Mus musculus: one gene and its partners. The protein of the gene in region 4 interacts with the protein of the main gene of each other region in a pairwise test. Links are inferred from orthologs where the notes say so. Each region holds a gene or a part of one and is shown on either strand. Other genes may lie near its edges. The genes, in order: Nck2, Stac, Psmd9 and Nckipsd.

Region 1 (5,612 bases), on a different chromosome or scaffold from region 4:
CAATGAAGTATTTGCCCTTATAAGAGTTGCCTTGGTTATGGTGTCTCCTCACAGCAATAACACCCAAACTAAACTAAGACACCTAGCTGCATATGTATCAAAAGATGGCCTAGTAGGCCATCACTGGAAAGAGAGGCCCATTGGACACGCAAACTTTATATGCCCCAGTACAGGGGAACGCCAGGGCCAAAAAGTGGGAATGGGTGGGTAGGGGAGTGGCGGGGAGGGTATGGGGGACTTTTGGGATAGCATTGGAAATGTAATTGAGGAAAATACGTAATAAAAAAAATGTGGAAAAAAAACCTAAGACACCTCTCTCTCTCTCTCTCTCTCTCTCTCTCTCTCTCTCTCACACACACACACACACACACACACACACACACACACACACTGATCTATCATCTATGGATTTAATTGGGGGCTTGCTTACAATTCCAGTGGCTTGGTCCACTGTCATCACGGTGGGAAGCTTGGTAGCAGCCAGGCATGTTGCTAGGGAAGTAGCTGAGAGCTATACTCTGATCCACTGTGCAGCAAGCACACAGACACCCAGACACACAGGTGCTGGCTAAGTTCAAAGCTTACTCCCAGTGACTCATCTCCTCCAACAAGGACATACCCTCCTAATCTAAATAGTTTACTAACTGGCCTGCAAATATATGAGCCAAGGGGAGTCCTTCTTGTTCAAATCTCCCTGGAGATCTTATACAGAATCAGTGAGAGGAGTCTGAGGCCACTTTTCAAAGCAAAAGCTTAAAAACTGTGTCCATATCGTCTTACTTATTTAGCATAAACTAATTTTAAGTAGGGCTAAACTATTGGTTAGAGTTCTGCCTTCATTGTTGTAAAGCTAGATAGTAACAAAGATGAGGTCTGTAACAAAGAACGGATGAAGCTAGCATCTCCGACTGGAAGAGACTGTTGGGTGTGCTGATTTTGTACAGGATGCCTCCTAGTGCCCTCGTGTCAGGCTACGTGCCAGGTACTTAACATAGAAGGCAGGTAAACATCTCATGTGATAAAGCCGAGGAAGTTGTGAAACACCTGTGTAAGGTGACACAGTTCAGGAGCCTACGGTCAATGGCTGCGAGGACTATAGCCAAGCTTCCTCACGTTACTTATGCCTGGGAACTTCCTATAAGAAGGCAGGCAACTTTTCTTTCTTTCTTTTTCTTTTTTTGTTACGTAGGGTGAATTGTTTCTGCCTTAATAAGGAGGAAACAAGGGCTAGGGTTGAATCTCATTAACATAAATGTGAGTCGTCCGACCTGAAAGCGGAATTTATTTGAATATCAGGGGTTCCTTTGGGGTATAAGGAGCGAAGGAGCTTGGAGAAGAAACCTCTGGATCCAGTCCTTCTCTTCGATCCAGGGTTCTAGCTTTCCAAGTTTGCTTATAGGTTAGCTACTACTCAAGTCTGGGAGAGCAAGGTTTCCTTCTAAAGCTTTCTCAGCCTCCTGTACTAAAGAATTCCTGGGCTCTAATAAACTGGCCAGGACGCTGCGGAGGCAGCTGAGGTCGGGTTTCCTCTCCTCCCCCACTAGGAAGTGGTCCCGCCTGGAGGTTGGGGGTGGGGGGGATGGAGTAAAAAAGTGTCTGGATGGGAAAGTAAATAAATGCAAGGCAAATAAATAAAGAAAATGCCCACAAGCAATTACTGGGAGGAAGTGACATTTTTATGTAAGTCACTTTTCTGACAGACACCAGGCCTGTTTGGCTGAGAGTGCCGTGGGAATGCTTGGGGGGCGGGGTAGGGAGGTCGCTGTAAGGCTCCCGACGCACAGCCGGGTGCGGAGACCACCCGGTCTCGTGGGCTGCAAGTGGCACCTCCTTATCCCTAGCAGCCCCTCCCGGGTGCCCCCAGCTCCAATCTAGAGCGGGTTACGGCTTGAAGCCCCCAGGCGGCGCTTTCCCGAGGCCTGGCTGGGACTCCCAGGTGGGTCCCCCGCCCCGCGTGCGCCGGGCTGGGCCGGCCCCTGGGCGGCGTCACGGCAGCCAGGGAGGAGCGCGGGCGGGGAGCGCGCGGAGGCGGGCGCTGCGCGGGAGGGTCGCCGCCGCGGATCGCAGGCCGGTGCGCGCGGCCGAGCGGGCGGCGGCGGCGACGGTGGTGGTGAGGAGGGCTCGGCGGCAGGCAGGCTCGGGGCTCCCGGGCCGGCGGGGTCCGCCGGGTCCAATTGCGTCCGCTTGGTGGCGGGAGGAGGGAGCGGTGCAGACAAAGAGCGGCATCTGGGCGGGCGCAGCGCGGCCGCCGCCCCGGGACTCGCGCTGCTGCCCTCCGGCCTCGGCGTGCACTGTGCGGCGAGGTAAGGCGATGGCGGGGGCTGCAAACTTGGGCCGGTCCGTGGAGTTGGAAGAGAGGGGCGAGCGGGCCGCGGCCGCCCGGGGAGGGCCAGGGAGCGCGTACCCCTGCGTACCCGGCCGGTGCCCTCAGCCCCGCCGCGGCCTGGCGTCCCCGGGCACCCGCACCTCGGATACACACACCTTCCTGCGAGCCCTCGCCTCCCTCTGCCTGGGGCTGGCGTGGGGGTGGGGCGCCCTCCGCGGGCGGACTCCGGGGACCAAGGACCCAAAGCCCTCGGGAACACTAGCAGCCCTGGCCTGTGGGCGGGCGTGGGACCGAACAGTGGCCAGGTCGCCGGGCGCGCGTGCCTGGGAAGAATAGCCTGGGATCTGAGGGCCACAGCGCTAGGAAGCGGGAGGCTGCGATGGCCGGGGAGAACTTCCAGTATTTAGAACTATTCGTGATCCGGCACAAAGCTGCTGTCACGTTCCATAAAGGAGGTCCTTGCCTCGGCGCAGGGCGCTTTTGTGCCTGGTTCCTTCCAGTCCCTGCGCCCGGTCCCGCATTTCCAAGACTTAAACCTCCTCAACCAAAGTTTTTCCCGGTTGCTCTGCCCCCTCAGTTTATTTATTCAGGGCGATTTAAGCAAGTGGTTCTGCAAGAATTTGATGTGTGACTTTTAATGCCCCGGTGGCACCTCCCTTTTGAGCGCTGTTAGCTTGGCATTGTGTGGAGAGGTTTGATTTGCAAAACGCTGTTATTTATACACAACAGCGATCCTCCCGGAAGGTGTGCGCGGGTGGTGGTTAATGGATAGCAGAGGTGACTTACAGTAGTATTGTGAACAGCTTGGGGACACAGCTGGGTGCCAAGTGGAGTGGGCCCTGCCACCCTAACCCATTCAGGTTGGCCGCTTCCTCCTTATTTGGCTCTCCTTATTTTGCTAACAGGTTTAAGGCCAGTCTTGCCAAGTTTGCGTCTGTGTGTGGGATGAACAGGTCCGAGTTTGGGCTGGAGGTGCACAGGCCTGCTCCTTGGTTGACCCAAAAAGAAACAGCCCGTTGGCCAGTGGGCGTGGCTTGCTGGTATCCTCCCCTGGAGACTTCTCTGCTCCTCTCCCAATACAGGCTTTTCTGCAGAGATTTTGAGGAGGAATGAGAATAATTTTGGGTGTGTTTCCAGCCTGGGTTTTTTTTTTTTTTTTTTTTTTTGGTATAGTTAGCAACTGTGGTTTTTCTAGTCTAAAGGTCACTACTTTATCAGAACATCTCAACTGTGCTGTGGGCACTCCCTCCATTCACTTTCCAAGTGTTTATAGATACAGAGGTAGAAACCGGACTTTCTCGTGCATGTGCCTGGTTTATGTAGCGAAGGCAGCCAGTGAACACAATGGAGAAAGTGCACTTTAGACAGATAAGGTTTTACACCTTCGGGTCTTTCCTAAGTGACCACAAGTGACAATCCTCCCTTAAACTTTCTCACCTCCTGGTAGGTTAGCGTAGTTTTGATTGAAGAACGTAAAGGTCCCAGTGACCTGAAGCTGAAATGAGAACTTTGTGCAGCTGTAAAGCTTTGACTTACAGCTTACTGCCTGTCTTGCTCTCAGTTTCTTACACGTGCTTGAACAGAGCCCCAGTTTCAGGGTTGGAAGTTGCTATGTGAGCTCTGGACACTTGATAGGCGATTTGCCCACCGATGGAGAGACGACTGACCCCCTTTAAAATGGGTCGAACTTATAAAAGGTGGTTTCCAACTCCTTGTAGGCTCTTCAGTCCATTTCCAGGCTTTCAGTTTTGCTTTCCCCATGGGTCCTTGCTTCAGTCTTCTTCCTCCCTTTCTCTTTGATCCGGGCTTATTCCTGACCTCTGTCTTGAACATTGGGGTACTGAACATTGCTGACAAACAGCAGCACCCAGGTGTTTGAGAAATGTGCTCTCATCCTTGCTAAATCTCTCCAGAGCTTTCCTTGTTGGAGCAGACCGAATGACCCCTTGAAAACAGCCCGATAGTCACTGATTGCATAGTGACCTGTAGTCCTTTATTTGATCATTTGCATTAGCTTAATTTGCCCTGGCAAGACTGGGCTTGGTTGCTTTGTAGGGCACACATGCTTCTAACTGACTGGCTTGCAGTGTGCACTGGGGCTGATGAGGCTCGTGGAAATGATTTTCTGATGTTCATAATGAGCCTTAATGACTGAAGAATTCAAGACTGCTTGTTGCAAGTGCAGAGCAGTGTAGGGAACAGTGGTTGGGGAAACTTGTAAGCTAACATTTCTTACAAAAGGACCGGGAAGCTTCCCATAGAGACTTAGGAAATTCATTTTCCCATCCAGAGGGACTTCAAATGTTGCTTTGGAATTGTTTCTCTTTCCTAAAAAAATGAGTGATAGAAACATTTCTCAAGGTGTTTTCAAAGGACATATGTGAAAAAACAATGATGCCATTTGTGTGCTGTTCTGTGTAAGTTAGGCAGCCTTTTAAAACAAGCTATCAGAGGTATGCAGCCATGGTGTTTTTTGTTTTTTTTTTGTTTGTTTGTTTGTTTGTTTGTTTTTTCGAGACAGGGTTTCTCTGTGTAGCCCTGGCTGTCCTGGAACTCACTTTGTAGACCAGGCTGGCCTCGAACTCAGAAATCCGCCTGCCTCTGCCTCCCGAGTGCTGGGATTAAAGCCGTGCAACACCACGCCCCGCAATGCATTTCTTTAGGCAATCAGAGTAGTGTAATTTTTAAAAAGACTTTTAATTTTCAGCAATTCACTTTGCACAAAGCACAGAGAACATGATGGTAAGAGAATCATGTCCTCGGCACCCCAGTTCCCACCCCACTTCCCGCCCTTTCTTTCCCCTGGAGTTCACTTCCACCTGAAATTCTCAGTCCTCCAGGCCATGACAGTGAAAACTGTTCTTTAGATCGACATAGCAGTACCACGCTAGGGTCACACTGGTATTTCCATCTCTGACTAGTACTTGTGAGTAGCCAAAGGTCCCTTTCCCAGATTATATGGCTGTCTTAAATTTCATCATCTTTTTGAAGGGCCATTTTTCTCCTGTATTTCACCATCTTCCTTCTCAACTAAGAGGCAATAACTGTGTCCTGGGACATCCAACAGATCTTTCTTGGTGGTTTCCTTTGGACATCTGTGACCTTCTTCCTAGTTGTCTTCATTATTTCTTACCCTGGTATAGGCTGGAAGGTGTTGATCATAGCATTTGATCCATAGTTCATGTGTGACAACACATTTCTTAGCACCTTGTTGATTTCTGACCTGTGTCATTGAGGTTGGTGATGAAATCAGAATCTTAGGCTCTGCTCAGAGTCACAACGACCA
Region 2 (5,156 bases), about 2.8 Mb from region 4:
CCTTGAGCTGGCTTACCTGTGCCCCCAGCAATCAAGTTCAGCTATACTGTGTTACCTAAGTGAGGTACAGGGTCTGCTCTCTGGCTCTGACGACCTCTGGCTCTCCTGCCTGCTATAGGTAACAAGGAGTATGGGGGGCGGAGTGCATGGCATCTCTCCCTCATCCATATCACTGAATGGTAGACAAATGTCGAGGCTAGCTCTCCCATGCTCATACCCTCAGGCCTCCTCCACTCAGGTCTTTTCACACACAAACACACACACACACTAACACACAAACACACACACACACACACACACACACACACACACACCAGGGTCAATCAGCTCTACTGTGCTCCCCAGACAAGGTGCAGGGCCCTGCTCTCCTGAGTCCTGCAGGTAGTGAAGGGCAGGGCTCTCTCTCCTGCTCTTATGACCCCAGTGCCAGGTCTCCTACCTGGGGCAGGTGGTGAGGGGGGAGGGGGGCATGAGGGGATCTCTCCCTCATCCAGGTAGGCGTGTCTTTCAAGCAGTCCATTTCAATAAGAAATGTCCCATTGCCTTCCAACAAAATCTCTGGCTCTAGAAGCAGGCAGACCCCCTTGCCTGACACGGTGTCCACCCACACACACCAGGGCAAGGAAGGAAAGCACCAACTTCTGTGTAAACTTCTGGAGATCACAGTCTTTCTCCATTCTCACTGACCATTAGAGGTTCCATGTTCCTGAGACCTGGTGTAACTTCCACTCTTAACCAACACCTGGAGACTCACTGACCAAGAAAGGAATGAGCCTGAGGTCAGCAGAAGGCAGGCTAACGTTGAACCTGCTTTTCATGAGCTGTTTGACCTGGTTACTTGATCTCCTTCATTTCTCAGAGGCTCCAATAACACCGTCCTGGCCTATGCTCCTGTGTTGGTTATACACTGTCCTGTAAGCACAGCACAGCAGATGGGCAACTTAATAGCATCAACTACCGTCATATTTCTGGTGGGGAGCAGGGTGCATAATCTGCATGGAACTTGGCTGGGAAGTTGTGGTCTCCACTAGAGTCCCCTTTTGTCTTGCAGGAGGTGGTATGGCTCAGGTCAGTGAACTCCCTGGGTGAAGGAGACTTGTTTTGCACAGTCTCTCAGGTTATCATACATTTGGTCTTGAAAGCATTTGGCAGGCTTCCAAAGGAGCCACGGGGGTCCTGCCTTCAAACTGGCTTAGAGCTCTTCTCCTCCACACCAACACAGTCTTCTCTCTCATTAGTTCTCTTTGTTCCCTATTGGCATTGGTCATACACTTGTCATACACACATACATGCATACATACATACATGCATACATACATACATATATACATACATACACACGTGATTCTTATGCTTCTGTATAAAAATCTAAAAATCCCAAGTAAAGGAAAACATGATATTTCTCTTTCTGAAACTGGGTTAATTTACTTAACTACTAAATTACTATCTCCAGTTACATCATTTTCTTTCAAATAACATAACTTTCATTTTTATGACAAAAAAGATTATATATATATATATACACATAATCACATTCCTCATCTGTTCCTCTGTTGCCAGACATCTAGAATAGATAATGAACATGTAACTTAGTTTTGAGGATGTGTTGAACCAATAACATACGTGTATGAAATGTCCTTATATGATAGTACAATGTTCAATGAATATATAGTTAATTTTTTAGAATATAATTGCACTTGTGTATGTACATGTGCACCACAGCACACAGCTGGTGGTCACAGTACAACTTGTGTGAGTCAGTTCTCCCATCCCGTGGGTCCCAGGCATGGACCTCAGGTCTCTGGGCTTCATAACAAGTGTCTTTTATTTGCTAATTCCCACTCATCAGCCTGACATTAAAGTGAAATAAAAGTTCAAATGCCTGGTGGCTCACATCTGAACTCTCAGCAGCGGGCTGAGGGAAGAGGATATCTTGCAAGTCTGAGGACGATCTGGGCTGTGTCGTAAGTTCGAAGCCAGCTTAGGCTATGATATAAGATCTCGTCTCATCTGTATCCCTAAAACCAGACAAATCCTCCAGCCAGCAAGTTCACAGAGTGGAAAATAGACTCTATTCAGCCAGTGGTTAAGAGCACTCGCTGCTGTTCCAGATGACCTGAGTTCAGTCTATTGCAAAAGCACGCTGAAAATTGGCAAGACCATTGGGAGGTGAGAAGAACACACTTTTTGTGCTATGCCTGAACCTCAGCTCTGTGACCGCAGTGGCTTCCTTGTCCTCTGAGGTCAAGATAGAGGTGGGGAGGGAGGTGACAGGCTTGACACTGCCCCACCAGCTCTTCTTCACTGTCTTCAGGGAGCCTGGCCCCACTGTGTGGAGACTCCAGTCAGCACAGGGTACCTTCATGCATAGCCTACAGCAAGAATGGCTCCAGATGAATACTTAACCAAAGGAGCCCACCTCAAAGCTGATGGACCCCTGAAAGCCATGCAGCTAGTTCATTGTTTACTCCTTCTATCTGGGTGGCAGAAAGGCGGGTGCTAAGGGCTGATAATGAAATGCTTGAGAGATTTTTTCAAGAGCCACGATAGCTGGCAAGACTGAGCAAAGCCAAGGTTGGTGCAGACTGTGATCAGTGCCAAGGGCCCAGGAGTCTGAGCAGCAGGAGCTGGACCCTTTGTGATTTTAGTGCAGGGACCGAGCCTAGCGTTTTACCCAGCCAGGCAGGCACTCTACCACTGAGCTGGATCTTCAGCCTTGTTTTCTCACTATTTAATTTTCAAGACGTGGACTTGCCAAAGCTGACCCAAACTCACTCTGCAGGCCATGTGATCTGAGAGTTGCAGCCTCCTGAGTAGCTAGGGGTCTAGGCCTGCAGTGCCACATTCAGCCAAAGCTGCTCTTTATGCCTAAGAAGAAGGGAAGTCCTCAGAGGATTTTAAGCGCAAAGCTCCTGCGCTCACATCTGTGCGTCCAGAAGTTTCCTCCTGCATGGTCAGATTAGCAATGCAGACTGGACTCAAGTCCTGTGAGCACCCTTCCAAATCCATGTGGTGGCTCACCATAAGTCCCATAGGCAAGAGAGAAATGATCTAGTTTACTGAGGCTGAAAAGCAGGGCAAGGACACCTGAAGGGCCAGGAGAGCTAAGCAAGGCTTTTGAAATACTAAGTCTTAAACACACACCACATACATAAACATGTATCACATACATACCTCACAGTCCCTCATACCACATACACCCAGGTATGTGCATATATATTCATACATACATACCACATATATAACACACATACTTGTACAAATACACATGTACATACACTATTCACATGCATATACTACACACACACATACCACGTGGGCATACAGGCATGTCTTAAACACTGTACATGCTTCTTTCCACATGTTTCAGGTACAAGCAGACTAGCAAGCTTCTGGTTTGTGTCCTGGAGACCATTTAGCCAGATTAATGTCAAGTCAGAGGGAGACATTGTTTGTATACTTTACTGTCCTTAGAGACAAATAACTACTGACTGGCCGTACAAGAGAGAAGACAGTATAACACACAGCCTTGGTATCCAGGAGTTCATACCTCACTTCCAACTATGAAAACTCAAGACAAAAGGTCAAAATCCCAGGGTCCTGAGACTTGTGTCCTGGGACTTCAGGCAGCACATTGGTGGGGCCTAAGAAAGCAAGGCTGGGAAGGAAGATGGTGGAATGGGTCATGTGGAGCCTCTCCCTGCTCACTAGCTTATGGGATACAGGATGAACTACTGAGTCCCATTTCAGGTATCCACCAGCCTTGGACTGCCCGCCCTGGGGCCTGGCAGAACTTCCCAGGTATACATGGGGTCTAGGGCAGAGCTGGCTGCATCCCCCACAGGAGTCACAGGACCCATCATAAGAGAGGCTGTCCTGTCATTGCCTTGCAGCTCCAGAAACTAAAACGGTCACTTTCTTTCAAGACCAAGAGCTTGCGGAGCAAAAGTGCTGACAACTTCTTCCCAAGAACCAACAGTGATGTGAAACCGCAAGCAGACCTGCTGGCCAAGGCCAGCCCAGGCCCCAGCCCAATAGCCATCCCTGGAAGCCCAGCGTCCATGCCCACCAAGGCTGGCCTGCACCCCGGCAGCAACAGCAAGCTCCACGCCTTTCAGGAGCATGTCTTTAAGAAGCCCACCTTCTGTGATGTCTGCAACCACATGATCGTGGGTAAGACCCCTACCCCCACCCCTACAGGTACAATGTCCTTGGGAAAAGGAATGAGAGCTGGAGGCCCAGGTTCAGGGGACCCATAGACCAGCTCTGAGCTTCAGAGAGTTAAATGTAAGAAGGTCAATGTGGGGAGTGGCCATGATGGAGGGGCCTTACCCAAAGCAAAGGCAAACAGGGCTAGGTGGAGGGAGAATTAGTTTGGAATATGGTTGGAACCAAGACAGCAGCTGGCATCGTCCACCAGAAGCCTGGTTCCCTTCATACCCTTTCTGTATGTGGCCCACGTATACCTGCCTGAGCCTGTTATTCCAGGTAGGCACCAGAGACCTGAGATGTTTGTACCTGTCATCACTGAAACTGGATGCCTCAGTGATGGCTATGAGGCCAGGAAGGCAGAATGTTCTCTGGTTCCCTCATCCTTGTCAAGGTCCAGTTAAGGGGTGTGTCAATGTAAAAGAGACTAAGAGACAGTTTCTTCTAACGTCAAATATTAGTGACCATGGTCCCAGGAATACAGATTTAGGCTACCCCGATACTATGAGTCAATGGTTCATGAAAGCTATAAATCAAGGGATTTTTTTTTCAAATATATGGGTGTGGTCAGCATGTCACAGAAAAGCAGGGAGTTTCAGGTATCAACCTCAGATGTGATCTGATCTGTGACATCTTCAGCCTTTGGGATGGAGGAAGTTTAAGGTCAACATATATTCTGAGAGGTCTTTACCTCCAAGTCTTACAAGGCTGGTAGGTCAAACACAGGTGGGTTATTAATGACTGGGAAACTAAAGATAGCCCAAGACCAATTGCCTCTGGACCTACAGTAGTTTAGCTCTCTGAGATGATGGAAGTTTTAATCAATCCGCCTCAGAGGGTGTTATGAAGTACATCAGCACAGCCTTTGTCCTGGGACCTTCTGTTCCCAAGTGGGCGGTTCTCAGTGGGAAGGAAGCAGCGTCAGATCTATTGCTGCTATAGCCATG
Region 3 (5,920 bases), on a different chromosome or scaffold from region 4:
ATTTCCAATTTCTCCATAGTCTCCTTAAGATATTACCCATATTCTCGTTATCCCCATCCTGGTGAGTATGAGGGAGTATGGCACTGTGATTTTAACTACACTGTGGCTGTTCAGCATGCTGGGCCTTTAAGAGTTCCTCTATGTGTGCAAGTGTTTTGGATCTACGGATAGATGTGCACCATGTGTGTGCGGTGCCTGCGGAGGTCAGAAGCGGCATCGGGTACCCTGGAAGTGCAGTTACCACGCATGTGTGAGTGCTGGGAACTGAACCCAGGTCCTCTGCAAGAGCACGTGGAGCTTTTAACCGATGTCCTGAATGTGTTCACCAGCTTCTCTATCAATCATATGTATTTAATTTAAGGACCATTCACTTAGACCCTCTGCCCTGTTCTCAGTACACTATCTGTGTATTTATGACTGTGTTTTATCGCTCCGTTTTCTATATCCCAGACACCAGCTTATGAGAGGATGTGCAACCACTTCCTTCCATCCTGTGGCTTCTCTTCTTATAGTCTTGACTACGTATTATGAAATAGGAGTTTTAATAGTGATATCTAATTTATCATTTATAATCTGTTTTTACTTTTATGTGGGGGAGGGACAGAGTTTCACATATGTAGTCTAAGCTGCATACTGAGAGCCTGTCTTTTTTTTTTTCTGTTTTGTTTTTTGAGACAGGGTTTCTCTGTGTAGCCCTGATTGTCCTGGAACTCACTCTGTAGACCAGGCTGACCACAAACTCAAGAGATCCACCTGCCTCTGCCTCCCAAGTGCTTAGAATAAAGAAATGAGACATCACCACCCAGCTGGGAGCCTGTCCCTAAAATAATAATAATAATAATAATAATATGAAATAAATCAGAGCAGACAAATTTTAAGATTCAAGCCCTCAGCAACCAAAAAAAAAAAAAATTAGCCAGAGGCAATTAACATACACTCTTACCTTATATTTAAGAGAAAATAGTTATAGTTTTTCCTCTTTTGATTTGGTTTCTAATAGGTTTGTGTGTATGCAGATGCCACACATGTGCCAGTCAGAGGATAATCTCAAGGGGGCATCTCAGGAACACTATCTACCTCCTTTGAGACATGCTGTCTCACCAGCCTACAGCTCATCAAACAGGCTGGACTGGCTGCCCATAAACCCGGGCATCTTCTGTCTCTGCCTGTCCAGTTGGGATCCCAGACATGGACCAGTAACAGCCTTGAGTTCTAGGGACCAAACTCAGGTCTTGAGGTCTCTGCGGTATGCATCCGACAAACCGAGCTATACTCCTAGCCTCCCCAAACGCTGGTTTGTTCAGACAGGGTCTTGCTGTTCCACTATATAGTCCTAGAGCTCACTGTGTAAAACAGACTGGCCCTGAACGTGTGGCAATCTCCATGCTTTTGCTTGCTTCGGGCTGCAGGTATGCAACACCACACCCAGCTAAATAGTAAAGGGTAGGCCAATACCAAAAGACAATACGTGAGATGTCTGATTCTACTGGAGTTAGGCAAGTTACTGCAGTTTAAGAAATTGCTTTTTGCCAGCCGATGGTAGTGCACGCCTTAAATCCTAGCACTTGAGAGGCAGAGGCTGGTGGATCTCTGAGTTCAGGACAGCCAGAGCTACAAAAAGAAACTCTCATTCGAAAAACAAGACAAAACAAAACAAAAAATTGCTTTTTATCTGTTTTAAGCTTTACCAAGCCGGAGGCCTGTGACTTTAAACAAGTGACTTCTCCTTTCATACACACACACAGATATATGTGTATACACACACACATATACATACATACATATACACATACATATATACACATATATGTGTATCCATACATACACAGATATATGTGTACACACACACACACACACACACACACACACGGGTTTTTGTGTTTTTTTTTCTTTAAAGAGATTTGTGTCTGTTTAAACGTCTCCACGGGCGTGTGAACTTACACAGTAGTAAATTCTGGATCTCAACTCCAGTCCTTATGATGGCCAGTGCCTTTAAACCACTGAGCCATCTCTCCAGCCCCTGACTCCGCCCCTTTGAGCTTCAGGGACACAAGTTAACAATACTGCTGTGACAGTTTCCTGGCACAGCACACATACAAGATAGTACCTTTCAGGCACATGGTCAGCACCTACCTGGCCTGTAGAACCTCTATATGACACCGTCATCTGGCACCCATCACCCAGATGTCATTGTGCCCAGCAATGAGTGTGATTTAGCCTCCCCTTCCTCTATACACTGACTTGGGGTTTTATGAAAAATATATCTGCTTAGGAGGTAAACAGATCACAGAGCCAACCATTCCCCCTTCCTAACTGGGCAAGCATTGGCTCCACTCTGGCCCTGTTTCCCCTTTTACAGTAAAGACAATGTGCTTAATCTGGCTCCACTTAAAAGAGCAATTAGCAGAGGTGAGGGTTTTCTTAAAATCCAGAGTCTTTTCCCTATCCCAATTAGAGTCTGCATTTCATTTTTACTTTTCTTTTTTGTTTTTTTTTTTTTTTTTTTTTTTTGGTTTTTTTTTGAGACAAGGTCTAATATAACCCAGGACAGCCTCGAGCTTACTATGTAGGCAAGAATAACCCTCAAGTCCTGATCCCCCTGCCTCCACTCTCTAAACGCTGGGCTTAAATAGGGATGCCTCCCCTGGCTACAACGTGCATTTTAACAAGATGCCCAATTAATTCTCCCAGTTGACATTTATAAAGTCCTAAAGAAAAGCGGGTGGCGAGGCCAAACCTGGTAATGTCACCTACAGAAAGTGACAGTAGCGATTATCACTATGCCTCAGCAAATAGTCTATCCTTGCGACCGAGGCAGTTTCACTAAGGCCTATATCATGGTTGCACAGGCCCGCGATTCCCGCACTCAGAAAGATGAAGCAGGAGGATCACGAGTTCGAAGCCAGCTTAGGGGCTGCGTTAAAAACAAACAAACAAAAAACTTTAAAATGCAAAGTTAATGCTTCCGAAAATGAAAATTAATCCCACGTAAAGAAAAAATGCTTAAAGGGGCGTGTGGCACGCAGCAAAGACCCCCTCTAGGACACTGCTTGGCAGCGACCCCGAGCCTCGTCCGCAGGCCTCCCCGCCACACTCACGCTCTCCAGGACGTCGTAATTAGCCTTGATCTCCGCCTCGATCTCCTCCTTGCGTCGCATCAGATCCTGGATGTCGCTGACCGCGGCCGCACGGGCCTCGGAGGACTCTGCCCGGTGCGGAACGTCTTCACCCGACATCGCGGACCTCAAGCTAGAGTTCTGGGTTTCCCGGCTACGGACGCCAGCCGAGGCTGAGGCTACGGGTCCTCCCCGGGGCCAAAACAGCTCAGCCAACGCGCAAGTACGGAAACAGATGAAGGGTGGAGCTTGGAAGTGGGCGGGGTCACCGGCTAGATAGACCACGTGGTTTTCAGATGACCCGGTAGAGATAAATAGGCCCATAGAGGACATAGGTATTTACTCCCACTTTATCCTGACTCATTTCCACTTTTCTTGTTCATTCCTTTCTTTTTCATTCTGTCCCCGTCCCTCCATCCGTCCGTTTCCCCACCCCCCCACCCCACCCCGTTTTTCAAGACAGGGTTTCTCTGTGTATCCCTGGCTGTCCTGGAACTCACTCTGTAGACCAGGCTGGCCTCAAACTCAGAAATCCTCCTGCCTCTGCTCCCAAGTGCTGGGATTAAAGCCACCACATCTGGCTTACACTTTTTTTCATTCACTCATCTGAAGGCTGAGTAAACTGGATACCAGCTGTATAAATGTAAGAGGATCCAGTCTTGCCAACCTTGACACTTCAGTTCTTAACATCTACGAAGCCCCTGAGTGTTTGAAAGAGGCTTTCAAGCGATTTGTTTTTTGTTTTCTGTTTCTTTTCTTTTTCTTTTTCCAGACAAGATTTACTGCATCTCAGGCAGGCCTCTAACTCATTGTGTAGATGAAGGCGACCTTGAAGCTCTCCCCAAGTTTTTAGAATATTCTATTTCTTATTGTCATGATCACAGACACCCTCTAACCCCCCACTCCCATTCTATCCATTTCGCACCTCCCTCAACCTATCCTCATCAAAACTTCAAGACCTTTTTTTTTTTCCTTCTTTATAACCTAGTGTGCCCAGTGCCTTTGAGCATCTGATACTCCATCTGCTCCCTCCACAGGCAGGGATTACAGGCATGTACCACCAGGTATGGTTTATGAAATATTGGGGATCAGGAACACTCTACCAACTCAGCTATATCCCCAGCCACTTTCGGGCTGGGGATCCTCATGGTACAACCTATGTTCAAAGTTGGACCATTAACACCGACTATATATATTCCATGTGACCTTAAATAATTTCACCTTCTGCTCTCTGACCTTATTGTGTGACACTAACAGTAATATCTCTCGCTCTTTTTTTTCATTTTTATTTACTAATTTATTCCCTTTGGATCCTGATCAGAGTACACACACCCTAGCAACGTGTCTCTTAAGGGTGTCCAAGTATTTATTGACTTTCACCTCTGTCACGAGGTGCTGGTGTAACAGGCCCCCAGACCTTAGTACAACCGACTCCATAAAGAAAGTACCACTCAGGCTGGAAAACACAGCACACAGACAGCACCACCTGCCAAAACTAAAACAAAGCCGGAAGCCATCCAAGTCCACAGCTGTGGGAAAGTCTCTCCATGCACGAACCTTGCTTTTTGGCTTCAGTGGTTGTGCTCCTGGCTAATTGCTCTTGTGAACTAAGGTATATCACCCCAGGACCCGGTTTTTGTGCTCAAAAAGCTTACCCTGAAAAAGGCTCAGTGCTCCACTGGGGTCCCAAACACTTAGTGTTGTACTGGCTCACTAATAAAGACTATCAGATTAAAACTCTATCTGAGCAGTCTCCTCTCATGAATTCCCCACAAGACTGAAGTGGTAAAGAATATGAAACTGTGTCAGGCCTCTATAAATGTAGGTAAACATAGAAACTGGGGTGTGGGGTAGAGAGATGGTTCAGAGGTTAAGAACATACTTAAAGCTCTTGCAGAGGGCCTGGGTTCCCAGTACTTACATGGAAGCTTACAACTGTCTGTTACTCTAGCTCCAGGGTCTCCAATGCCCTCACCTGACCTCCACAACCATCCAGCACGCACTTAGGACACATACGTATATGCAGGCAAAACACTTGCACACTGTCTTAGTTAAGGTTCTATTGCTGTGATAAAATAGCATGGCTGTGTTAGTCAAGGTTTCTATTCCTGCGCAAACATCATGACCAACAAGCAAAGTGGGGAGGAAAGGGTTTATTTAGCTTACACTTCCACAACAATGTTCATCACCAAAGTCAGGACTGGACCTCAAGCAGGTCAGGAAGCAGGAGCTGATGCAGAGGCCATGCAGGGATGTTCTTTACTGGCTTGCTTCCCCTGGCTTGCTCAGCTTGCTTTCTTATAGAACTAAGACTACCAGCCCAGAGCTGGCACCACCCACAAGGGGCCTTTCCCCTTGATCACTAATTGAGAAAATGCCTTACAGCTGGATCTCATGGCGGCACTTCTCCAGCTGAAGCTCCTTTCTCGGTGATAAATCCAGCCCGGGTCAAGGTGACACAAAACCAGCCAGTACAAAGGCCAAAGCAATGTAGGAAGGAAAAGCTTCATCTGGCTTACGTTTCCTTATATAACTGTTCATCATTTAAGGAAATCAGGACAAGAATTCAAACAGTGCAGGAGCCTGGAGGCAGGAGCCAATGGAGGTGTGCTGCTTACTGACTTGCTCCTTGTGTCTTACTCAGCCTATTTTCTTATAGAACTCAGGACCACCAGCCCAAAATGGGTAGAACACACTCCCATCAATAACTAATTAAGGCAATGCCCTACAGGTGGAACTTAAGGAGGCATTTTTTCAATTGAGTTTCCATCTTCCTTTAGACAACTCTAGGTTGCATCAAGTTG
Region 4 (5,156 bases):
ACTAAAGGCGTGCGCCACCACTGCCTGGCTTGTCCTTAATCTTGACTCCTTCAAAGCACAACTGTTATCTTTCCCTAAGAAGTTCTTTGGGCCTCTTCCATTAACCATCTTCTATCCACCTACCTGCTCAAAACCAATCCCAAAGCAGGCTCTTCCGGGCCCACTTGCAACACACCCAAGCCTGGCCTACTTCACCACCCACTCCTGCCCCGGGCTTCCTGGCTTCCACTCTGCTCTCACAGGAAGGCAGTGTCTCTTCCTCTTCTGAAAAGCGATTCCAGCTCGCCTCAGACATCCTGCTCCAGTCTGCCACATACACGGCTGGCTGCCATGTCCTGGTTTCCGAGTAGTCTTCCACACTCACTTGGCCCTGGCAGCGGCAGCCCTGCCCCCTCATCTGCACTCAATGTCATAGTCACCCCTTTTGGTTAAGCTGCTGTGCGGCCCCCAGGCACCTTGTCTCCAGGTGACAGGTCTGCGATCTGGCGCACAGTGATGTCAATAAGCGCCATCATGTCTGTGTGGTAGAAGATGGCGGCTGTGGCAGAGCTGCTGAACACATCCTGCAGGAACTTGAGGACAGAGTGTGGTGGCTGGGGCTCATGTCTGAAGATACGCACAGGGTCGTCTAGAAGACAGGGGTTCACAGGAGTCAGAGGAGGGCACGTGACAGAGTCAAGTGTGTACGCAAGCGGCACCCATGCAGACTTCTAGGCTCTCACCCCCTCTGTTCAGAAGCAGAAGCAGCTTCTCAGAGAAGATCTTCACATTGGTGTGTCTGCTCAAGGCAGCCATGATGACATTCTGCTCAGGAGCTGCGGAGAGACGTGGATGGAGACAGGTAAGAGTGTAGGCACAGAAGCCCGCGAAGCCCGAAAAGCCCACTGCTCAGCTGCCTTCCAGATGGCCCCACCCCACCTGTCAGGTGCAGGTTGAGAGCCAGAAGCAGGTTCATGCAGAGGTCTGGCAGCTGCTCCGTGGTGTCCATTGGAAGGCCATCCTCAACGATGCTTAGTAGGAACTGGGCAAAGGGTGTACCCAGGTGTTCTAAAAGAGTAGCATAAGGAAATCTACAAATCCAACTTTTGCTCCCCATACGATCCAGCCTCCCTGGCTTTCTGTGAGCCTAAGAACACCATCTCTAGTCAGTAGGTCTTCAGGCCCTGGAGAGACGCATGGTTCTTACCTCTGGGGCCTTGTGCCCACTGCTTAGGGTTTGATTCTTACCATAGTGTGCGTAGGGTACCGCCTCTCCCATGGAGAAGACCATGGCCAGGACGAGGGCAGAGTAACAGAGCTTCTGGTGGTCTGGGGGTGGGGGGTAAGGAAGGAGTCAGCAAGGCCAGGGATCCCCGGCAGACGGTGAAAACAGCCTCCGAGTGGTAAGGAGGGCCACCCCACCTCACCCTGCGTGTCGGTCTGCATGTCCCGTGCCAATTCCACAGGCAGCACGGAAGACACCAGAGTGGAGATGATCGCTGCATCTAGGCTGCACATGGCACCGAAACACTTGAGGAGCAGCAGCCGTAGAGACGCTCGGTGTTCCTGGCAGAAGAACCCGTGTGCTAAGTGCCCTTACGTCTGCCCACATGCCTCTGTGCCCCTCCCTTGTCTTATACATACCATTTGGTAATAGGCCACCAAGGCTAGGACAGACTCAAAATCACTCCTTTTGCACATTTTCTTGCAAACTTCGGGATCTGCATCCGTCTGGAGGGAAGAGAAAGAGTGAGAGTCACCCAGTGTGAGGTGAGCATGCATGAGCAGAAGTGACCTAATGGCTGAAGGGTGATGGTCCAGGGGAGGCTCACTGCTCCCACGCCGGCAGGCCCGAGGGTCCGTCCCTGCCCCATACCAGGATGTGCAGCAGTTCTTCCAGATAGCAGCGGATGACGTCCTCGTCCTCGTACAGCGCCCAGCTGCGCTGCTGGGCGTCATCCTTTCTTCGAGCCAGGTCTGCAAAAATCACTTCCAGTCTCTGCTGGTCGTGGCAGACCTGCCCTGAGGGTAGGGCTGTGCTCAGGTCCTGTGGGGAGAAGGCAGGGTATGACTCAGTAAGACCTCTGCACACCACCAGCTCCAGGAAGCCTCCAAGACCTGGCCCCTCTAAGCTTAGCATTCTTTGAACTGAGGTCCCACAAAATTTACACTGTGTAGGCCAACTCCAGTTTCCACCTCCTGGTACAAGACTCTGCTCAAGGCTCAGCTGTGGGAATTCCCAACATCCCAGCTCCCACCCTGGAACTTGCTGAGCAGCTCCCAAGAGGCAGGAACGAACTCTGTCACTCCTTGAATGTGACTCAGGATCCATCCTCATCCCATTCCACACAATGTGACACCAGGCCTGTCATACTAGACACTAGCTGCTATGCTCAGCATAGGCACACAAAACACTGGCCTACTGCCCTCTACTCACTCCAACCAGATATCATAGGTGGAGCCTAAGTACCACCTTTGGCCCACTCAAACCCTATCGTAGTCAGGACTCACTACCGCGTTCCTTCTCCTAATGAGTGACCTACTTTTTTTTTTTTTCTCAGAGACACAGTTTCTCTGGCTGTCCTAGAATTTGCATTGTAAACCAAGATGGCCTCAAACCCAGAGAGCCACCTGCCTCTGCCTCCTGAGTGCTGGTATTAAAGGCGTGCAGCACCAGACCTAACACCAGTACCCTAACCTTGAGAAACGACCACAGTCATCTTGAAATGCCCACGTCACTCACTACCATCCAAGCTGGCACCTAAACCACTATCAAAACTAAGCAAGCGTCCATAGTTAACCAAGCCCCCTTTTCTCTACACCGTCAAGGCTGGCAAGGCACTGATCTCTCACCCCATGCTGTCTCGCTTCTTTCCCTGCATCCGGAATCACAGAAGGAGCACCAGTGGGAAACCCCTCCAGGTGATGGGAAGCTTCCCCTAGTCCCATCTCATCCTGGTCTCCCTTATCACCTGCCTTAGGCTCACCGGCTCCCACACTGCCTCTGATGCAGATATGCCATCCACCTTCTTCCTTCCTGTGAGCCATGCTTGGTCCTGTCTCTTGTTCCTTATAAGCTGAGTCTCTGTCTAGAACGTTCTTCCTCCCTTTCTCCTTCATGGGTCAACTCAAATGACTCTAGGACCCAGCACAGTAAAAGCCAAGGGCCAGAGCTTGACAAATACCTGTCACACAGCCTGGACAAAGGCGTGAGGGCAGGAGCGGGGTGGGATTAGCAGGCTGCCTGAGGGTGGGAAGGCTCCTTGGCCATGCTGCCCACCCTCACCTTGCCTTCTACCAGCGAGAGGAGGACCTGCTCCATGATAGGTGAGCTGGCTGGCACGGTGGCCTGGATGTGACCCACCACGACGCCGATGGCTACACGGCATAACTCATGGCTTAGACCGGTGTTTCTCCGCACGAGTTCCATCAGCTCTGCCCCAATGGTCCTTGGCACAACTGTCTCAGCGGCTGCCTTCTCCTCTGTGGTCTCTGGGCTCAGGGCATCCTGAGCTTCCAAGTCATCAGGGGTTGAGTTTGTCTCAGCTGCCACCTCCTCCGTAGGGGGCTCAGGGGATGGTGCCTTGGAGGGAGAGGGCTGGGGCTGGGACACAGTAGTGTGGGCCCCTCGGCGAGGTACCGGCGGGGGTGTGGGTGAGCAGCTGGGACCTAGCTCAGAGGGGCTGGAGCCAGTATAGAGTGTGTCCATGGAGGTGCTGCTGGCTGATGAGCCACTAGACACAGAACTACCTCCAGAGGGTATGGCTGTGCGGCCACCTGTGAACAAGAAGTAAAAGCTATGCTGGGGCAGCCTGTTGGGGAGCACCAAGCTTCTTGGCCTAGAGAACCTGACCCTAGTACAAGACCTAGTTCCTCTGTTAGGCCCTATCTCCTCACCAAGCCTGGAGGCCCCAAACAAACTCTATATTTACCCCATTCAGAGCTCCCATTTGCCCAACATGGGCAGAGCAACCATTCCAAGCGCAGGGTACTCCCATCCCAACTACCCAAGCCTGGCCCTCTCACCACTCCCTGAGATCACCAGGGCCTCACGGTCTCGGCGCTTCACCGGTGGGGGTGGGGTGGTAGGAGCTGCTCGTCGAGGCTGTGGTGGAACCTGAGAGAACAGAATTGAGATCTAGGGGAAGACAGCTGCTAGCTGCACCTGAGCAGACCCCTTGGGCCTCTGGATGAAGTCTTAGTCCCAGACACCTCCTTCTAAAAGATACCCTTACTCCATACCTGGTAGAGGGCTCCATCTGTCCCAAGATGCTCAGAACTGGGCAGGCTATGCTGCCGTTCAAACCCAGTTCGACACACCCCATTGGGCTGTCTAGATACAGCAGCGTCCAAATGGTGGTCACTGGTGGATGGGGTCATAACCGTAGCACTGGAAGCTGAGGTGCCTCTTCGAGACAAGGTTTCTTTCCGGTGATGGATAAGCTTCCTAATAGAGAGACAAACAGACCATGATGGGAAGGCTCCTCTCTACACCCAAAGTACACACACACATGCATACAACACACATGCATGCACACACAAATGCATGCACACACATGCATGCACACACATGCATGCACACACATACACACACACACATGCATGCACATACTCTCACACACATATACACTTTCTCTCATATATACACTTTAAAATAAATCTTTTTTTAAACCCCCTGCGGGATTCTGGGACCTCACAGTACAGGCTCCTCATCGTCCATCTTTCCCATCATTCATCCCACTCTGTGGAACCTCGCACTAACCCTAGTACTGCCTCCAGTGTCTCTGGCCCCACCAACACGCTCAAGGGAAGGTATTACCTCCACTTCCCAGATACTCACTGAAGGACTCCACGCTGTTCCAGGCTGTACTTGCCGCCATCTCGCATGGCTGTGTTGTGCACAGCCTCAATGGCACGGTCAATAGCTTGGAGGACATCTTGTTCCATGCCCTAAAGGTAGGTGGGTAGTTAGACCTGGGTGCCAAGTGGGATTGGTCAGCCCAGACCCAGCCCAATCTGGAACTAGCCTAGAATTCTGGACACTAGAAGACAGCCAAAATGGAATACAGAATGAAGTGGTCAAATCGTGTTACCTGGGACTCTGTGATGGTATTTTATAGTTTACATTTAGGGGCTTGCATACACAGGCTCTCGGCAAAGACAATTCTAAAAACCTA

The links.
Region 1: the proteins of Nckipsd (region 4) and Nck2 interact in binary tests that used the Homo sapiens proteins (3 or more experiments, as listed by UniProt). The two-hybrid records come from large-scale screens. The link is inferred for Mus musculus from reciprocal best matches to the Homo sapiens genes NCKIPSD and NCK2.
Region 2: the proteins of Nckipsd (region 4) and Stac interact in binary tests that used the Homo sapiens proteins (3 or more experiments, as listed by UniProt). The link is inferred for Mus musculus from reciprocal best matches to the Homo sapiens genes NCKIPSD and STAC.
Region 3: the proteins of Nckipsd (region 4) and Psmd9 interact in binary tests that used the Homo sapiens proteins (3 or more experiments, as listed by UniProt). The two-hybrid records come from large-scale screens. The link is inferred for Mus musculus from reciprocal best matches to the Homo sapiens genes NCKIPSD and PSMD9.

Annotation. Positions count from the first base shown.
Region 1 is NC_000067.6:43,443,725-43,449,336, forward strand, and holds the start of Nck2 (cytoplasmic protein NCK2), read left to right. Parts: upstream 1-2,026; 5' UTR 2,027-2,303; intron 2,304-5,612. UniProt on the Homo sapiens protein: Adapter protein which associates with tyrosine-phosphorylated growth factor receptors or their cellular substrates. Maintains low levels of EIF2S1 phosphorylation by promoting its dephosphorylation by PP1.
Region 2 is NC_000075.6:111,633,823-111,638,978, reverse strand, and holds part of Stac (SH3 and cysteine-rich domain-containing protein), read left to right. Parts: intron 1-3,893; coding exon 3,894-4,173; intron 4,174-5,156. UniProt on the Homo sapiens protein: Promotes expression of the ion channel CACNA1H at the cell membrane, and thereby contributes to the regulation of channel activity.
Region 3 is NC_000071.6:123,225,623-123,231,542, reverse strand, and holds the start of Psmd9 (26S proteasome non-ATPase regulatory subunit 9), read right to left. Parts: upstream 3,354-5,920; 5' UTR 3,237-3,353; coding exon 3,099-3,236; intron 1-3,098. UniProt on the Homo sapiens protein: Acts as a chaperone during the assembly of the 26S proteasome, specifically of the base subcomplex of the PA700/19S regulatory complex (RC).
Region 4 is NC_000075.6:108,810,819-108,815,974, reverse strand, and holds part of Nckipsd (NCK-interacting protein with SH3 domain), read right to left. Parts: intron 5,154-5,156; exon of another isoform or gene 5,073-5,153; intron 4,930-5,072; coding exon 4,820-4,929; intron 4,427-4,819; coding exon 4,222-4,426; intron 4,097-4,221; coding exon 4,006-4,096; intron 3,757-4,005; coding exon 3,266-3,756; exon of another isoform or gene 3,100-3,265; coding exon of another isoform or gene 2,956-3,099; intron 2,027-2,955; coding exon 1,856-2,026; intron 1,711-1,855; coding exon 1,624-1,710; intron 1,546-1,623; coding exon 1,407-1,545; intron 1,309-1,406; coding exon 1,228-1,308; intron 1,048-1,227; coding exon 919-1,047; intron 816-918; coding exon 723-815; intron 629-722; coding exon 456-628; intron 1-455. UniProt on the Homo sapiens protein: Has an important role in stress fiber formation induced by active diaphanous protein homolog 1 (DRF1). Induces microspike formation, in vivo. In vitro, stimulates N-WASP-induced ARP2/3 complex activation in the absence of CDC42.